Linked DNA regions of Callithrix jacchus. The main gene of each other region encodes a partner of the protein of the gene in region 4 in a complex. Links are inferred from orthologs where the notes say so. Each region holds a gene or a part of one and is shown on either strand. Other genes may lie near its edges.

Region 1 (4,257 bases), on a different chromosome or scaffold from region 4:
TTGTAGAGACATGGATGAATCTAGAAACCATCATTCTCAGCAAACTGACACAAGAATAGAAAACCAAACACTGCATATTTTCACTCATAGTCAGGTGACAAAGAGTGAGAACGCTTGGTCACAGGGAAGGGAACAACACTCACTGGAGTAGGTGGAGAGGTGAAGGGGAGGGGAGGGACAGTTGGGGGGGCGGGGAGGATGAGGAGGGAGAACACTGGGAGGAATACCTGATGTAGGTGACGGGGTGGGGGATGGAGACAGCAAACTACCATGGCGTGTATGGACCTGTGCAACAATCCTGCAGGATGCAAGACATGCACATGTACCCCAGAGCCCAAAGTACAATTTTTAAAAAATGATTTACAGCATATTCATTAAGCAAGAATCATCTTCAGTCCTTTGTACTCCTTTCTGATGAAACACCACCTGGACTCCAGCCTGTTCTTCAGTGTCCACTAAGAACACCCATCTGCCCTCTCCCATCTACCTGCCTTTGAGTAGGCTCCTCTTACAGGCTAAGCAAGTTTTCACCGTTTTCTTTTTTTTCCTTTTTTTTTTTTTTTTTTTTCTGAGATGGAGTCTCACTCGGCCACCCAGGCTGAAGTGCAGTGGTGCCATCTCAGCTCACTACAACACTGTCTCCTGGGTTGAAGTGATTCTCCCATCTCAGCCTCCTAAGTAGCTGGGACTACAAGCATCCACCATCATGCCCAGCAAATTTTTGGTATTTTTAGTAGAGACAGGCCTTCACCAGGTTGACCAGGCTGTTCTTGAACTACCGGCCTCAAGTGATCTACCTCGGCCTCCCAAAATGCTAGGATTACAGGCGTGAACCACCACACTCAGCCACCTTTTTCTGTCTCTAGAAGTCTTGCGGGTACTTAAGGACTTGCCCACATCTTATTTCTATCTTAAGACTTTCCTAGATTGCCCTGGGTTATAAATACCCCTGCCCAGAGTGTTATACTATTTTACTTCTATTGTTACTTCTATTATTATAGTCTGGGTTGTATTACAGTTTTGTGTGTATGTATTTGGGTGCATATTCCCACTCGACTGTGAATCTTTGGAGATTAGAATACAGCTTAGTTCATCCTGATTTTGGCATGGCACCATTTTTCACATATATCAAGCATTTAGGAGCTGTTACTTGAGATTAATTAAATGGGTTTTGTTCGGGTCATTTCTCTCCACCCACTCCCCACCCCAACCGTCACATCTCATAGAGTCATTTTTTTTTTTTTTTTACATTTCTAAACAAAACCTACAAAGTTAGAAGCCTGTGTATAGAATTATCCTCTCTCTAACCATTCTCTGTGTGCTGCGGAAAATGTCCCAGAATTATAACCTCCTACTTCTGTTTTTCTGCTTTTCCTTTCTAAGTCATTTAGAAATGACTCACTTTGAAACTCTTCCTGTGAAGTCAGATAGTGGTCTAGAGCATAAGGCTTAATTTGTTGCCAGAAACAGAGAAGGAAAGAAGGAGAGAATGCTCAGCAAATTTTGTCATACTTCATGACTTCATTGTGGCTAAGTTTGGGGACCAGACAGGACTCATGGGAACATCCAGGTGCTGAAGCCTTCAGCTACTGTCTCAGCTTTTTGGTAAGAAAATCTAAATCCACCTGATGACTTGCACTTAACCTGTTTCGCTCATTATAAGTAATGAGTTTAAGGGTCATTATCTTCTATTTCCCCATTCCTTCTCCAATTTTCAATTCTTTTGTCTTATCTCTATGTCTAACTTTCTGTTTCTAAATATTCCACATTGCTTTTGTCTTTGCTTTTAATATTTCATAGTGCAATTAATAGTGAACTTTATGCCATTTCTTTCCTGTCTTTGAATTAGCTGTGTATTTCCCCTGAACTTTGATTCTAGCTGTCCCCATTAGTTTGTTTTTCAAATCATTGATTGCCCTATTGCCCTTTTTTTCCCTTTCTATTTTCCTCTTTCTTTTTTTTTTATTCTTTTGCCCATTCCTTACTGCTACTGACTCTGTTATTCTATTATTACAATTTGATTCCGTGGTCCACGTTTCTTTCCCTATCATAGTGGAATTTTAGTTTCAGGATATTATCATTAAATTACTGCTGGTCAATTTCGTAATAATTTTTTTAATCCTCTACTAATCTTAAACATAAAGGTATGGTACTTTTTAGCCAAATTAACTTAAAGAAATGTAAAAAGTAATCTTGTTCTGAAAGACTTTTTTTCTCTTTTTTGTGACAGAGTCTCACTCTGTTGCCCAGGCTGGAGTACAGTGGCACAGCCTTGGCTCACTGCAACCTCCAACTCCCAGGTTGAAGTGATTCTCCTGCCTCAGCCTCCTGAGTAGCTGTGATTACAGGTATGTGCTACCACACCCAGTTAAATTTTTTTTTGTATTTTTAGTAGAAATAGCGTTCCACCACGTTGGCCAGGCTGGTCTTGAACTCCTGACCTCAGGTGATCTGCCCACCTTGGCCTCCCAAAGTGCTGGGATTACAGGCATGAGCCACTGCACCCAGCCTTGTTCTGAAGAACTTTTAATTACTGATTCATACATACTTCCATTTCAAAATAAATAATATGCGATATTTAATATATAGCTCATGCCAGATAACTCCATTTATTTTTATTGAAATTTCACCGTTTGTAGTTCCTGCTACTTCAATTCGTGCAGTTCTTGGCTGCTTCCCCTTTATTAGCAATGCCATAATCTTCCTTTTTTTTTTTTTGAGATGGAGCCTCACCCTATAGCCCAGGCTGGAGTGTAGCGGTGCAATCTTGGCTCACTGCAAACTCTGCCTCCCAGGTTCAAGTGATTCTCCTGCCTCAGCCTCCCAGGTAGCTGGGACTACAGGTATGAGCCATGCTCCACTAATTTTTTGTATTTTTAGTAGAGACAGGCTATCACCGTGTTAGCCAGGATGGTCTTGATCTCCTGACCTCGTGATCCGCCGGCCTCGGCCTCCCAAAGTGCTAGTATAACAGGCGTGAGCCACTGCACTCAGCCTACCATATATCTTTATATATATATATATATTTTGGTAGTAAAAAGAGCATTGGCCTAACAGTCACTGGACCTGAAATCCAAGATCCTCCCTAATAATGATTATATGAAAGGAATCTAATTTACTAAGTTTCACTGTCAAACTTGAGAAACAAAAGCTGAGACGATGTAGATTGGGTGCGGTGGCTCATATCGGTAATCCCAGCACACTCTGAGGCCAAGGAGGGAGGATTGCTGGAGACCAGGAGTTTGAGAGCAGCTTGGACAACATAGCAAGCCTCTGTCTCTACAAACGAACAAACAATGACCAGAAAAAAATGTAGAGAGGAGAGATGATTTCAAAGTTTTCTTTCAGTCCCAGCATCCTAGGACTCTATCCTTCTCTCAATATTTTAGGAAGTTACCTTGATAGGATTTAAATATCTGAGTAGACAAGGCCATAAAAAGGGGAATAGGAATCATTTCTTCTTTTTTATTTTGTTGACTTGCTATTTTAACTTCTGCTAATCACATAAGGCCCTATGAAAATATTTGGTTGACTCAGCAGAGCTACTTTCAAGCCACGAAAATATTTTGAGCCTCGTAAAAATAAATGTAAATTGTTATTATATCCAGTAAAACTTAGGAATTTAACAAAAAGAAAGTAAAAAGGGACAGCATGGGAATTCCGGAAGAGGCCCAAGTAAGGATTAAATGCATATAAATTAAAATTTTAGATTTAATTGCAAAAGAAAAAAAGTCAACCCCTAAAATGGGCATCCATCTATTCAAGTAATTTTTTTTGAGACAGAGTCTCACTCTGTCATGCAGGCTGGAGTGCAATGGTGCAATCTCAGCTCACTGCAAACTCTGCCTCTCCAGTTCAAGCATTCTTCTGCCTCAGTTTCCCAAGTAGCTGGGATTACAAGTGTGCACCACCACACCCAGCTAATTTTTGTATTTTTGGTAGAGACAGAATTCTGCCATGTTGACTAGGCTGGTCTCAAACTCCTGGCCCCAAGCGATCTGCTCCTCTTGGCCCCCCAGAATGGGGATTACAGGCATGAGCCACTGTGCCCCGCCTGTCCACGTAATCTTTAACCTCAAGGTCTCATAAGGCATTGTGTTAAACTGTGTGAAACAATCATTTATAAATAAGACTCTTTTTTACCATCATGAAGTTTAAATCTAGAATAATAGATTAGACAGCCATTATAATTATTACATAAGGTAAAATGCATCATTGCATACAGAATATGAAAAAAGTTGAAACACACACATTCAC
Region 2 (4,026 bases), on a different chromosome or scaffold from region 4:
GTTCCTCCCTGCAGTCAGCCCTGGGGAGGCCGCAGAGGAATCCCAGCCCCACTCTCCTCAAAGTTTCTGAAGTGACACTGGGAGCGAGGGAAAGGGGTGGGTCCCCACAGGATGGGGGAGCTGCTATACAGGAGGGAGTGATGGTGGGTGTCAGCAGCCAGGTCCCCTCTGCGGCCCCCCACCAGGCACTCGCATTCTACCCTCTTTGAGGTGCCGTGGATGCCTGCGGCTGGTGACAGAGCGGAGTTGCCGCTTTCCCTCTCCTGAGGTGCGGCTCCCTCCCTGCCTGCTGTCTGATGTGTGTCTCGCTGTTGGTGGGTGCTCAGCCTGGCACTGGCGGCAGCTTCCCTGGCCTGTGGGTGTCTGTGTATCTAAGTGTGGGCATGTCTGTCTGCCCTGAGTGTTTCAGGCGGAATCTGTCCTTGACCCCGTCTATCTGAGCGCATGTGTCTGGTGGCCGGGGCGCTTCCTCCGGCCACCTATCCTCTCCTCCCCCGTCCCCTCCCACAGGCGCTAACACAGCCACCACCCGCGACCTGAGCGCAGTGACCTCGTCTGTCCGCTATAGCAGCGACTGCCCCTCTGTCCACCGGGGTCCATGGCTGTGCTCCAAGGGGCTTCCTGCTTCCTCAGCCTGAGGCCGCCGGAGCCAAGGCTGGACGCGCTCCCCTCCGGCTGGGTCCGCCCAGCGCCTCATCTTCCCTTATGTAACTCCACATCTGCCTGCACCTTGCAGGTCACCCCGGACCCTGCACTGGGTCCTTTCCACAGGGAGGCTGGCACCCGGTGTCCGTGCAAAGGGGAGGTGGAGCAGACCCCTGGTCTGGGCACCGGCTTTCCAAGGCCCCTCCCCGACCTTTCTTCACCAGACGTTCCTTCCCCGGAGACCCACATTCTAAAAACCTGAACCGAGGAAATGCCCCGCAGGGCAAGTTCCCCGGAGCGCGGGTGCAGGCGTTTCCCCCACCCCCAGCCCAGGTCCCCACCAGCGCCAGGGCTCCCCATGATGACCGGGCAGGGGTCACCAGGGCCGAGGGCAGGGGAAAGGCCGAGCAACCCAGACCCCGGCTCCGAGTGAGCGAGCTGACTGACCACAGGCGAGCCCCCAGACCCGGCCAAGCCCCGGCCGGGCGTCCAGCCAGCTGCGGTGAGCGCAGGGGCTGGGTTCCAGCCTGCCCGGCGGGCACGCGGCGCTGTCCGTGGTGCTGCCGGCGCCGGGCGGGGCGGGGGAGGGGGCGGGGCGAGGGCGGCAGCCAATGGCGGGGGCCCTGCGCGGGGCGCGGGGGGCGGTGGGCTGGGCGCGGGGCGCACTCGGCTGCGCGTTGCGCTCGGGGTGCACGGTCGTGCTGGCAGCGGCTCCTGCTCCGCTTCCTCTCCCGCTGCAGCAGCCGCGCCGCCGGCCCGGCGCCGCTGGGCTTGGATCCGTCTCCGGCCCCCTAGCCACCGCCCGCCCTGGCCCAGGCCCCGGCCCCGCGGACCATGCGCTGGGCGCCCCCCGGGGAACCCGACACGGCCGAGGGCCCACAAAGACGAGGCTCCCTGGCCGGGGCCCCTCCCGGCCGCCCAGCTCTCAGCCGGCGCCCTGCCGCGCGTCCCGGAGCCGCGTGAGCCTGCGGGGCCATGGAGCGCGCGCCGCCCGACGGGCCGCTGAACGCTTCGGGGGCTCTGGCTGGCGAGGCGGCGGCGGCGGGCGGGGCGCGCGGCTTCTCGGCAGCCTGGACCGCGGTGCTGGCCGCGCTCATGGCGCTGCTCATCGTGGCCACGGTGCTGGGCAACGCGCTGGTCATGCTCGCCTTCGTGGCCGACTCGAGCCTCCGCACCCAGAACAACTTCTTCCTGCTCAACCTCGCCATCTCCGACTTCCTCGTGGGTAAATCCCTAGCCCCCTGCCGCCGTGGGACCCAGTGTGGCCGGCCGGTGGGGACTGGAGCGCGGACCCGGGTGGCTCCCGCGGGCACACGCCCCACCAGGGGGCCCGGCGTGGGCCGGGGGCGTCCGGAGCCCATGGAGTGGGGGTCACGGACAAAGCTCCTTGCCACTCAGAACACGGGACAGGGGCTGGGGAGGGGTGTCGCCGGGAAGGGACACGGGCTCTGAGAGGTGCAAGACGCAAAGGCAGCGGGTGCAGCGCTGGCCCCTGCGCCGTAGCCAAACAAAGGCCGCTGCGGACTTAGGACGTGAGGAGGGCTCAGGGGGGCGGTTTAGGGAAGGTCTGGGGGAGGGGACATGGAAGGGAGATTTTTAGAGTTGTGTTGGGGGAGGGGACGTGCGGAAGGTGGGGGTTGGGGGAGACGCTCGGAGGAGCGTGCTCTCACGTGTCCAGACTCTGCTGCCGGCTGCGGGGCGGGGCACGCGGAGGGGGCTGGAGCGCCAGACACCTGTTGGGGCTGTGAGGTGCGTCTCCCAGACGCTCCAAGCCGGGCTTGGCAGTAGTAGCGGCTGGCGGCTGCAAGCAAGTGCCCTCTGTCAGCCAGGAGAAAGGTTTTCTCGTTGTCTAAGCCGAGAGGGAGGGTAGGGGCTGGAGTCCCTCGAAGGAGGGGAGAGGGAAATTATCTTCTTTCCTCCTCTGAGGACTGGGAGGGAGGGACAGAAGTCCAGGGAGTCCTGACTCCAGGCTCTCCCAATCTTGTGGTGGCCAGAGGTCCCCATGCCTTGATCTTCCCTCTTGCCTCCAGGTCCAGGGGACACCAGTGGTACTGGGAGCTATTTGGGGTGAAGGCTGGTGGCAGGGCAGAGTGTGTGGCTGAGACCAGCTGGAGGGGGTGGTAAGATGAGGGTGGCTGGTCCCAGAAAGGCAGCCACTATGTGACCCCACGTCCTGCCAGTGTCTGTGCTGAGGTCGGTCTGTCCTCTGGCCCCTGGCGGCATGGTCCCACTGTGGCCCTGCTCCCCACAGGTGCCTTCTGCATCCCGCTGTATGTGCCCTATGTGCTGACGGGCCGATGGACCTTTGGCCGGGGCCTTTGCAAGCTGTGGCTGGTGGTGGACTACCTGCTGTGCACCTCCTCTGCCTTCAACATCGTGCTCATCAGCTACGACCGCTTCCTGTCAGTCACCCGAGCCGTGAGTCCTGGGCCTTGGAGCCCCTGCTCACTCCTGCAGGGCTGGTCTGGACGCCCATGGGAGGCACCGGAGTGGGAACGGTCACTTCTGAGTTCTTAGCAGAAGTGGGCTTGGTCCCACTGGCCTTGCTGCTGACATAGGGGCCGCTCAATGGCCAGCTGCCCACTTGGGGCCATGGCTGCCAGCCAGACTGTCCTGGCCCAGGCAAGAGGCAGGGAATCTGGACATAGATGTTTCCAGAGTTAAGGGAGGATCTGGGGCCAGAGGCTATGGGTGCCATCCCTCACGCATGCGCGAGTACAAGTGTGCATACACACACAGGCACCAGGAAGGCAGGTGACATCCCTCATAGATGCGAGAGTACAAGTGTGCATACACACACAGGCACTGGAAAGGCAGATGACATCCCTCACATGTGTGAGTGCACAGGGGCCCCAGGCGACATCCCTCACACATGCATGAGTGTAAGCATGCATACACATACAGGCCCTGGGCAACATTCCTCACACATGCGTGAATGCAAGCGTGGATAACACACAGGCCCCAGGAAGGCAGGTGGCAGATCCTGACTCCATGTTTCCCTTCACGGGAAGGGCCACCTGAGTCAGGGACCCTACCCTCACTGGGCTCCTGCATCCGTGCTCTGCAGCCCAGGGAGCCGCTGCTGAAGTCACTCCTTCCCCTTCTCATCTTCTCCTTGGCAGCTCACCTTCCCAGGGCTTTATCAGGTCCTCTGCAGAACTGAGGGCAACTGTTTCATTCTAGCCTAGAAAGGCCAAGAGACAGGTGCAAAGAGCATGGGTTTGGGGTCCTCTTGAGCCCATCACCCCGTGGTCTCTCCCTCCTTTCCTGGAGGCCCCAGGCATGGGGCACAAGGAGAGCTGACTCAAAGGGGAAAGCAGCCTAGCCCAGAGCCTGGCTCAGAGGTGCTCCGCCCAGCTCTCATTAGCAATAGCTGTGATC
Region 3 (4,200 bases), on a different chromosome or scaffold from region 4:
CTTTATGGGGTCACCAGGGCCTGTCCTCTTGCTTCAGTAGACAGTTCCAAAGGGCCAGCTGAGCTTCAGGCCATTCCCTGGAAGCCGCTGGGGTCTCTCTTGAAATGGCATGGCCTTCAACTCCTCCCTCTGTCCAAACCTGCTTCCTTTACTTGCTCTCAATTCTGAACGCTCTCCCCAGTAAACCCCCTGCACGCAAGCCTCTGCCTCAGAGTCTAGTTCGTAGGAACTCAAACTAAGAATTAATTTATTTGGTTCTCACAACCACCTTATGAAATAAGTTGTTCTCTTCCTAGAGACAAGGACATGGAGGCACAGAAAGGTTAAGCAGTTTGCCTAGTCTCCCATCAGTGACTGGCAGAGCCGTGACTGGAAACCTGAAAATCTAACTCTAGACCCTGTACTCTTACCCTCACATGCAGCCTCTTAATAGCAATCCCAAAGGGAACTGAGGGGTGTTGGGGGAGGATGTAATGCCTTTATGGGAAGGTGAGGAGAGAGGCAGGGCATTTATTACCTTTATCTCAGAGATGGAGACACTAAGGTAGCAACTGCTTAAACCCAGGATGGTCCACCAGTTATAGCTGTGACTGGATTCTAACCTTTTCGGGTGCAGGGTTGGGGGGGGGGCCGTGCGGGGAAGGGGAGGGGGTGCAACAGAAAAAGAATGATAAATTCACATTTGAATTTGGGAGTCAACACCTACTAACTGAACATCTTTGAGCAAGTTATTTAATATGAGTCTTAGGTTATGTGCCTGGCACATAGTAGGTGTTCAACAAAATCATCAACCCATCCCTGTCTGTCATCTCCAACTGTGATCTTGGGAAAGTTTCTTTAGCTTTCTGATTCTCACCTGTTTCAACTATAAAATGGAGATGATGATGAAGAAGAGCTTACTTAGGTCCGTGTCCATCGATCGGGGTAAGAGCCCCGTAAATGGTACTTATCGGTATAATCGGATGCTGTTTTGCCCCAGCGTGCACCCTGTGCGCCGTCCTTCAGGACCCAGCAGGCTCAGACTTGCCTGGGATCAAAGCCCCGCGTGCCTCCCGGACCCACCACCCCCATGCAAACCCTCCCAACACGACACCGCTGCGTGAGTTTCCTGCTGTTACTACAGGTCGGCGGGTTTTTTTCCCTAGGAAACTGGGTGCGCACGTCTCATCCCCGTGCCAATCCTCTTGCCGCTTCTCCTTCTCCACGCGGCGCCCTGCGGGCGCAGGGTGCAGCGCCGCGTGCTCCAAGATGCAGCGAAGCTGAGTCCGGCACGGTCTGGCTGCTGGCCCAGCCTCCGCCGTCTCGGCGCCCCGCCCCGCCCTCCGATTGGTCAGAGCGCCCCGCCCCGCCCCGCCCCTCCGAAGGGATAAACGCAGCGGCAGCGCAGCCTGGGCGCATGCAGGCTGCTAACCCCAACCCCAGCACACTAGCACCTGCTACTGCGCCTTTGCTTTCTCGCGCTCGAGGACCCTCCTGGAGCCCGCCACCATCCTGCCCACTACGTGCTGCCTTGCGCCCGCAGCCATGTGCCGCACCCTGGCCGCCTTCCCCAACACCTGCCTGGAGAGGTAAGGGGAGCTTGTCCAAATGCTTGTTGGAAGTCCCACCAACTTCTAGGGAGTGGAGCGGCAGGCCTGGGGACCTAGGTGGGCGCGGGTATGGGGCGCTAGAGACTTGAGAGGTAGAGGCGAACTTGATGCCACGTGCTCAGATTCCAGGAGCAGGGAGAAAGCAGGGGGAAGGGAAGCGAGGGCCTGCTGCTTGCTGCCATCCCCATCCTCTGACAAACTGCAGTCGTGCTCAGGTGACCTGCTGAAGAGCCGGCTGCAGGAAGGCCACGTTGACATTTCCAGGCAGAATGGAGCCTGCCCATTTCTTAAGCACTTGGTTTTCATTCCTCAGCCCAGAGCTAGGGGCATGGCCCCCTTTGCCCCTAGCAGGCAGGGAGATTTTTTTTTGTGGGGGGGGGGTCCCACTGTTGAGGGTGTGTCCATGTTTCAGAGAGCTACTCAACAGCTTCCAATTGTTACTGGCTGGCAAGGAAAAAGTAAAGATGAAGGCAGGAATCAGTTTCCACACAGTTCAGAAATACTTCTGAAAAGAATGCTGAGTTCTCTTCTGAATCAACAGGCATGAAGAGAGAGAGATCAGTGTGACTTTAGGATAAAGCCCATATATGCAGTGTGTGTATTACCCAGAAAGTGTAAGACCCACCACCGCATAGCTCAGACGGTGCTGTCGTCGTTTTGGGGTTGATGATGCTGTGAAGAGAAGCACATTTGGGCCCTGGGAACAACCAACAGTTCCCAGGAACTCTTGAGGCTAAAGTTTCAGTGGGGCCGCCCAGAACTCTTCTGGGATCCACAAACCTCTCCACACTGGCTGAGCAAATGAGAACCCTTTCACGTTTGTGATTTGTTTTCCAGAGCCAAAGAGTTCAAGACACGTCTGGGGATCTTTCTTCACAAATCAGATCTGGGCTCCAATACTGGGAGTATTGGCAAATTCGAGTGGAGCAGTAAACACGGCAAAGAGAAGTAAGTGTTGCTGACCAGCCCAGGGTTCCTAGTGGGAAGGGAGCGGGGAAAAGGAGGAGGGAAGTTGTCACGAGGAGGGAAATGCAAGGAGAAGCCAGGACATGCTAAGTGGACCTCGGCATCCCCTCTCTAGAGATTTTAGCGGGACTTGTCGCTGGTCTGTTATGACTACTTGGCTCATGGGTGAGTGGGTAGGTGGCTCCAGGGCTCCAAGTCCATCCACAGATGAGGGCACACAGGGCATGAATGTCTAGTTACCAGACTCTCCCACCTGGGCGTTCATTGCACATACGTCCGGGGCTAGGACGGTGTCCAAGACTGCTTGAAGTTTTTATTAATGACTCTAGCATGCGCCTTGCCTAGAAACCCTTTCATACTGGCTATCAACAGTACCAAACTCTGGAGTTATGTGTAGATGTCATCTCTATGAGCCCCAGTTTCCTTGGGGAGGTATACAAAACAAATCTTTGAGAGTCAGGGGAATCGAAATAACTTTGGGCAGAGAAGAGACAGCCTTAGAGATATTGACTGAGGACTAAGGAGTCCCTAACTTTGATTTCTGGTTGCTGAATTGCTCTCTAGAAAACACAGTGCTTACCCTAAGTCCAACTAAGAGTTTGAGGTGTCAGCTTCAACAATCACCAAGCAAGTCTTTGTGTGAATTTTACTCAACTTTCCATCAGAGTTCTGGCTAGAATTTGTGCTATGCTTTACTTTGTTGATTTTTTTTCTTACTTTCTTTTTTTTCCTTTTTCTTTTAGTAGAAACTTCTCAGAAGATGTGCTGGGGTGGAGAGAGTCGTTCGACCTGTTGCTGAGCAGTAAAAGTGAGTAGGAGCCTTTTGTGTCTGTCTGTGGGTGGCACGTGGGTACTCACGTGCTTTGGAGCCAGGCCCAGGACTGCTGAAAGCTTGGGCGGAATAATAGTAGTAGTAATAATAATAATAATGACCCCTAGTGTGCCAGCCTCTATTCAACGTACAAAGGCAGGTCCTTTGTTCAAGAAAATTATGTTTAAAAATAGGGCCATTAAGTGAAATTGCTGTCCTTTCTTTAGTTGCCTTCTGTCCCTTGTCTGACCTGTTTCCTCCTTTCTCCCACAACCCAGATGGAGTGGCTGCTTTCCACGCTTTCCTGAAGACCGAGTTCAGCGAAGAGAACCTGGAGTTCTGGCTAGCCTGTGAGGAGTTCAAGAAGATCCGATCAGCTACCAAACTGGCCTCCAGGGCACACCGGATCTTCGAGGAGTTCATATGCAGCGAGGCCCCTAAAGAGGTTAGAGCCCCGCCATGCATATGAATCTGCACCACCCTGCCTGCTCCTTCCCCTCTGAGAGTCTGGGCTAGTGGGGAGGAAGGTGTAGAAATAGAAGGGCCTTACTTGACACAGGGGTGAGTGGGCTTCTGTGGCCAGAGACTAGGAAAGCCAGACTCAATGCCACTCCTGGGTCTTCACCCTGTGACTCATGATGGGGCAAGATGGGTTGGCAGGATTTTTGGCTTCAGTCCATACCCACCTTTATAAACCCGTCCATTTTTAAAGGCTCAAAACACTCACCAACTGGAGAGAGAAGGTTAGCACGAGGACCTTACATAACCTGGCTCAGTCCCCAGGCTGACCTGCCTGAGGCTTGCAGGTCTGTGGTCTGTGATTTTTTTCTAAGT
Region 4 (4,063 bases):
TTCAGAGCCACAGAAATGCCCAACTGTTAGGGGAAAAAAAAAAAACAACGTTTTCCACTGGCCGCTTGCCTCTCTTATCCCCATGCAACCTTGCCTATTGGCCCCTTTCCCTAGGAGAGCCCCTGGGGCTGTCTGATGGAACTAATTGTAAAATTATTTTGTGCAGTAAAAAATTCATTTCTTCAAAATCTGAGACCACCCAGAATATGCCCAATCTTTGGCAAATATCAACTGGTTTCCTCAGTATTTGACTAGCTGTACACCGAGTAACTGACCCGGGTTTCTGGGTCTTTCTATCGGCATAGAAATGAGGGGGAAATGTTTCAGAAGATGAAAAAAGGAAGAAAATCTCTCATCCAGAATCTATTCAAAATTCATTTTGTGTGTTTGGAAGGGGGAAAACAGAAGAATTCAGTGCAAAGAGGCCTCCACCAGACTAAACCGTCCAACATCTGCAAAAGCTTTTTAAATAAAACTGCTCAGGGATCAGGGGTTTGCTGCAAGCTCCCGGTCGCTTGAAGCCCTGTCCCTCCGCTCCGGGCCCTCACGCCTCCGAGGGTGGGCACCCCTCTTGCACGGAGAGCGGCGGCTGGGATCTCCGAGCAGGGTCGCCGACGGCCCTGGAGGCAGCGGCTCCCGGAGAACAGGCCCAGGCTTTTCTCGGCCCGCTGCATTCCTCTCCTTACAGCCTTGGCTCTCACATAGTAGGTGCTCTATAAATGTGGACTAAGGACTCGAAAAGTCCGAATCTGTCCTCACGCCCCAGAGGCGAATTCTGGTGCGCGAGGTTTTATTGCAACCCACTACCACATCGCGTCTCCTGAGGTAACCTGACCTCGGCTCTGCGGCCCCAGCAGCTGGAGAGCCACGGAGAAGGCGGGCTGCGGGAGACAAGATGGAGAGCCTGCGGGAGAGGGACAGAGGCCGCGCTGGCCGCGAGCTGGGGGGCCCACCTGACTGCCGCGCTGCCTGCCCGGCCCAGCACTCCCATTGACAAGGAGGTCCGCGCCGCCGCCGCGTGGGGCGGGGGCAGGGGCGGGGTAGGGCGCCCCGGCGCGCGCCCGGCCCCACGCCCCGCCCCCGCCAGCCTCGCACGCGCCCACCCCCGGGGAGCCGCGGGCCCGGAGGGCGCTTGGGGGAGGGGGGAGGATGCTCCGCGAACGCGCGTGCGCGCCTCCGCCGGCTGACGCGGACCCCCGGCGCGCGCCTCCCCCGCCCCGCGTTCTCCCAGTCCCGGGGGCTCGGCGCGCGGCCCTGCTGACGTCAGCCGGCGGCCCGCGGAGCCGGGTGCGCAGAGTCGCTGGCTCACTCGCGCTCTGCGCTCGCCTCCTCCCCCAACCCGGGCCCTGGCGCGGGCGCGCTCCTTCGCTCTACCATTTTTTTTTTTTTCCCCTCCCTCCCTGCCTCTCTCTCTCTCTCCCTCTCCCTCGAGCACCCGGCTGGCCGCGGCTCCCTGGCGCTCTCCCTCTCTCCGGTAGGCTCACCGAGCGATGAGAGCTCTGGGAGACCGCAACGCCGCCTCCCGCTAGAGACCTGCCCCCCGGTCCGGCCCCCTGCCCAGCCCTGCCCAGCGCGCGGGGGTCGGCGAAGGCGCCGCGGACGCACCGACGGCTGAAGAGCGGCGATGCACATGCACTAGCAGCACCCCCTAACTCACTCCCTCCACATCCCGCGCCGCCGCCGCCGCCTCCGCCACCTCCTCCTCCGCCGCCGCCACCGCCTCCTCCTCCAGCAGCCGCGGCAGCAGGACCCACCCTGCCCCCCACCCCACCCTCCGTCGGCTCCGGCTGCGGCTCCAGCCTCGACTATTATTTTATTTATTTTGGGTCGTGCACAAGCCTCAGTGCCTGCAGCCCGCGCCTCCTCGGCCCGCGGGCGCCTCCTCCCTCGGCTCCGGAGCCCCTGACTCCGGCCATCCTCGACTCGACACCCCCAGATCCCCACCAGCTGCCGCGAGTCTCCGCTACTGGAATCTTGTTAGCGGCTGTCTTTTTGGGGGGTTCTGGTTACGCGACATTTTTGTTTCCAGCCCAGGAGAGGATATCGTGATTTTCCCCCCTTGAGCCCAGGCTCTGCTCTCTGGGGGGGTGGGGGGCGCGCCGAGCCGGGGAGCCGTGCCAGCGGAGTTGTGCGGGCTGTGGCAGGGAAGGGGCCACCATGGGATGTACTCTGAGCGCAGAGGAGAGAGCCGCCCTCGAGCGGAGCAAGGCGATTGAGAAAAACCTCAAAGAGGATGGCATCAGCGCCGCCAAAGATGTGAAATTACTCCTACTGGGTAAGAACCGCCGCTACCACCCCCATCCCCCGACCCCGGCCACTCCGCACCCCTGCCGCCAGCTCCTCCACCCCACCCGCAGCCGGTAGACCTGGTCCCTAAGTTGGCACCACCATGTGCCCAGGATCGCCCACCCCCTCGCATGCCTTAGCCCCCCCCCCCCCGTTCCTTTAAGCTGACACTCACCAGTTTTTCCCCACTGTCTGTGTCCCAACAGGGGCTGGAGAATCAGGAAAAAGCACCATTGTGAAGCAGATGAAGTAAGTCCCTGTGGCACTGGGATTTGTACTTTTATTAAGAATAATTTTTAAAATCGTTTTTATTACCTTGCTTACTCCACATTGCTCTCCAGGCCTGTTTTTTAATTCGTGCACACACACGCACACACACACACACACCCCTATATTTGACTCCCCTCCCCCACTCCCTACGTTGGTTCTTGGTCCTCCACCCCAACTACCGGGTGGGTGTTTTTTGGGAGGGGGAAGGGGAGCGCCTGTAGTTGTATGAATGACAGCGTCCGCCATATTGATCAGAACATCACACTATTGGCATGAATATGATCATTACTCTTGCTTGTGGAATATTTTGTGTCTCACTGCCTCCATTTCTGTGTCTCTGTTTCATTCTGTCTCTATTTCTCTCTCCTCTTCCCTCCATACCTCCCTATCCCCGAAGGTCCGTAATCCCGCTTCCCCCTGCTCTTCTCCTGGGGCAGTGATTTTGAACTTGGCTAACATGGAGGGGACCCAGCCCTAGACTGGGGTGGAGGATCAGGTGTCTGCTGTTCATGCGTTTGGTGCTGAATTGGAGGCTGTGTTTTCTACGTCTCCTCGCCCCCCCCCAAAAAAGAGGGGATTAGGGGAGGGGTCGTGTGCTAGGGGAAGGAGTGGGTTTCCAAGCGGTAGTGACTGGCACAGTTTTATCCAAGGTAGAGGTGGAAGGGGGAGGGAAGCTGCCTGTGAGGCTGAATGTCCGCCCCTTGCTGCCCCCAGCTCCTCTCCTCCCCCACCCTCCCAGCATTGCTCTCCTGATACCCGCAGTTTTCCTTCGCTCCGTGGCCTTTATCAGTGTATTTATTTACACTCTGCATAGGCCATGTTCCATGCAATCTACTCACAATGCGGATTTCAGGCCCCACTTTCCGCCGCCCCCTTCTGCCTTAGCTATCAGTTTCCCCTCCTAATTAACTGGGGGTGGATTTGAGTGATGGTTGAAAATTAAAACAAAATGGGATATTCCTTCCCTTCCACACTTTCTCAATAAGGAGCCTCGCCCCTCCTTCCCACTCGCAGGCTCGCTTCTTGCCCTATTCACCCGGCAGTTCCTGGTGAGCCCACAGGCAGCTTTGCTTGGGGAGGGGGTGGCTGGCCGCAAAGAGGTGTGCGCCCTCGGGGCCTCCTGCTTCCGTTGGCCTGTCAGTTCAGGACGGAGGAGTTCGTTAAGACCGTTTAGCGAAAATTCCATGTCGCTTTGCTGTGACACCTTCGTGCACACACAGCTCCTAATTAGGGGTTGCCGTACAGTAAACAAAAATGATTATTTTTCAACTTGACAGAGTAGCCGAAGTAATTGCATCGCGTAGGGAAACAATGGAAAATAAAAACCCCTTTCGTGGGAAGCTGGGAGTGGGAGACGAAGCATGCTTGCGGTTTCAGAACCAAGATGCAAAAAATCTTGCATGTGTAACAGGCATGACAAGCGGGTTCTAGGCGGCGCCATGATGGTAGGGAGTAGCGACTCGGAGACAGTTTCCCCATCGGCTTGACATGTTCTTATTTTTGTTCG

Evidence for each region. The genes of interacting proteins can lie anywhere in the genome.
Region 1: the proteins of GNAO1 (region 4) and C3AR1 are in contact, whole or in part, in a cryo-EM structure (PDB 8I95), measured with the Homo sapiens proteins. The link is inferred for Callithrix jacchus from reciprocal best matches to the Homo sapiens genes GNAO1 and C3AR1. Residues at the interface, in NP_066268.1 of Homo sapiens: Ile28, Ala31, Lys32, Asp33, Val34, Asn194, Leu195, Ser264, Asn316, Glu318, Tyr320, Asp341, Ile342, Ile343, Ile344, Ala345, Asn347, Leu348, Arg349, Gly350, Cys351, Gly352, Leu353, Tyr354; in NP_001313404.1 of Homo sapiens: Asn57, Asp119, Arg120, Val123, Val124, Pro127, Ile128, Gln131, Asn132, Arg134, Asn135, Tyr356, Ile359, Arg362, Gly366, Arg367, Phe368, Ser371, Lys374, Thr375, Val378, Leu438.
Region 2: the proteins of GNAO1 (region 4) and HRH3 are in contact, whole or in part, in a cryo-EM structure (PDB 8YN7), measured with the Homo sapiens proteins. The link is inferred for Callithrix jacchus from reciprocal best matches to the Homo sapiens genes GNAO1 and HRH3. Residues at the interface, in NP_066268.1 of Homo sapiens: Ile28, Ala31, Lys32, Asp33, Val34, Lys193, Asn194, Leu195, Asn312, Pro315, Asn316, Lys317, Glu318, Ile319, Tyr320, Phe336, Thr340, Asp341, Ile343, Ile344, Ala345, Asn347, Leu348, Arg349, Gly350, Cys351, Gly352, Leu353, Tyr354; in NP_009163.2 of Homo sapiens: Asn69, Asp131, Arg132, Ser135, Val136, Ala139, Val140, Tyr142, Arg143, Ala144, Gly147, Ile221, Ile225, Arg228, Arg232, Thr345, Phe348, Arg349, Arg352, Val356, Leu360, Cys415, His416, His417.
Region 3: the proteins of GNAO1 (region 4) and RGS16 are in contact, whole or in part, in a crystal structure (PDB 3C7K), measured with the Mus musculus proteins. The link is inferred for Callithrix jacchus from reciprocal best matches to the Homo sapiens genes GNAO1 and RGS16. Residues at the interface, in NP_034438.1 of Mus musculus: Glu64, Asp65, Gln68, Ser75, Arg86, Thr117, Val180, Lys181, Thr182, Thr183, Gly184, Ile185, Val186, Gln205, Arg206, Ser207, Glu208, Lys210, Lys211, His214, His236, Glu237, Asp238, Glu239; in NP_035397.2 of Mus musculus: Glu85, Phe86, Ser87, Glu89, Asn90, Glu124, Ala125, Pro126, Glu128, Val129, Asn130, Asp132, His133, Glu134, Leu161, Lys164, Asp165, Ser166, Arg169, Lys172.

What each region holds. Positions count from the first base shown.
Region 1 is NC_133510.1:22,885,490-22,889,746, reverse strand, and holds the start of C3AR1 (C3a anaphylatoxin chemotactic receptor), read left to right. Parts: upstream 1-1,451; 5' UTR 1,452-1,605; intron 1,606-2,230; 5' UTR 2,231-2,348; intron 2,349-2,721; 5' UTR 2,722-2,843; intron 2,844-4,257.
Region 2 is NC_133506.1:57,779,908-57,783,933, reverse strand, and holds the start of HRH3 (histamine H3 receptor), read left to right. Parts: upstream 1-1,220; 5' UTR 1,221-1,256; coding exon 1,257-1,866; coding exon of another isoform or gene 1,867-1,870; intron 1,871-2,896; coding exon 2,897-3,063; intron 3,064-4,026. UniProt on the Homo sapiens protein: The H3 subclass of histamine receptors could mediate the histamine signals in CNS and peripheral nervous system. Signals through the inhibition of adenylate cyclase and displays high constitutive activity (spontaneous activity in the absence of agonist).
Region 3 is NC_133519.1:40,800,393-40,804,592, reverse strand, and holds the start of RGS16 (regulator of G-protein signaling 16), read left to right. Parts: upstream 1-1,394; 5' UTR 1,395-1,524; coding exon 1,525-1,568; intron 1,569-2,426; coding exon 2,427-2,537; intron 2,538-3,298; coding exon 3,299-3,363; intron 3,364-3,644; coding exon 3,645-3,811; intron 3,812-4,200. UniProt on the Homo sapiens protein: Regulates G protein-coupled receptor signaling cascades. Inhibits signal transduction by increasing the GTPase activity of G protein alpha subunits, thereby driving them into their inactive GDP-bound form.
Region 4 is NC_133521.1:14,059,637-14,063,699, forward strand, and holds the start of GNAO1 (guanine nucleotide-binding protein G(o) subunit alpha), read left to right. Parts: upstream 1-1,259; 5' UTR 1,260-2,157; coding exon 2,158-2,275; intron 2,276-2,461; exon of another isoform or gene 2,462-2,492; coding exon 2,493-2,535; exon of another isoform or gene 2,536-2,653; intron 2,654-3,985; exon of another isoform or gene 3,986-4,063. UniProt on the Homo sapiens protein: Guanine nucleotide-binding proteins (G proteins) function as transducers downstream of G protein-coupled receptors (GPCRs) in numerous signaling cascades.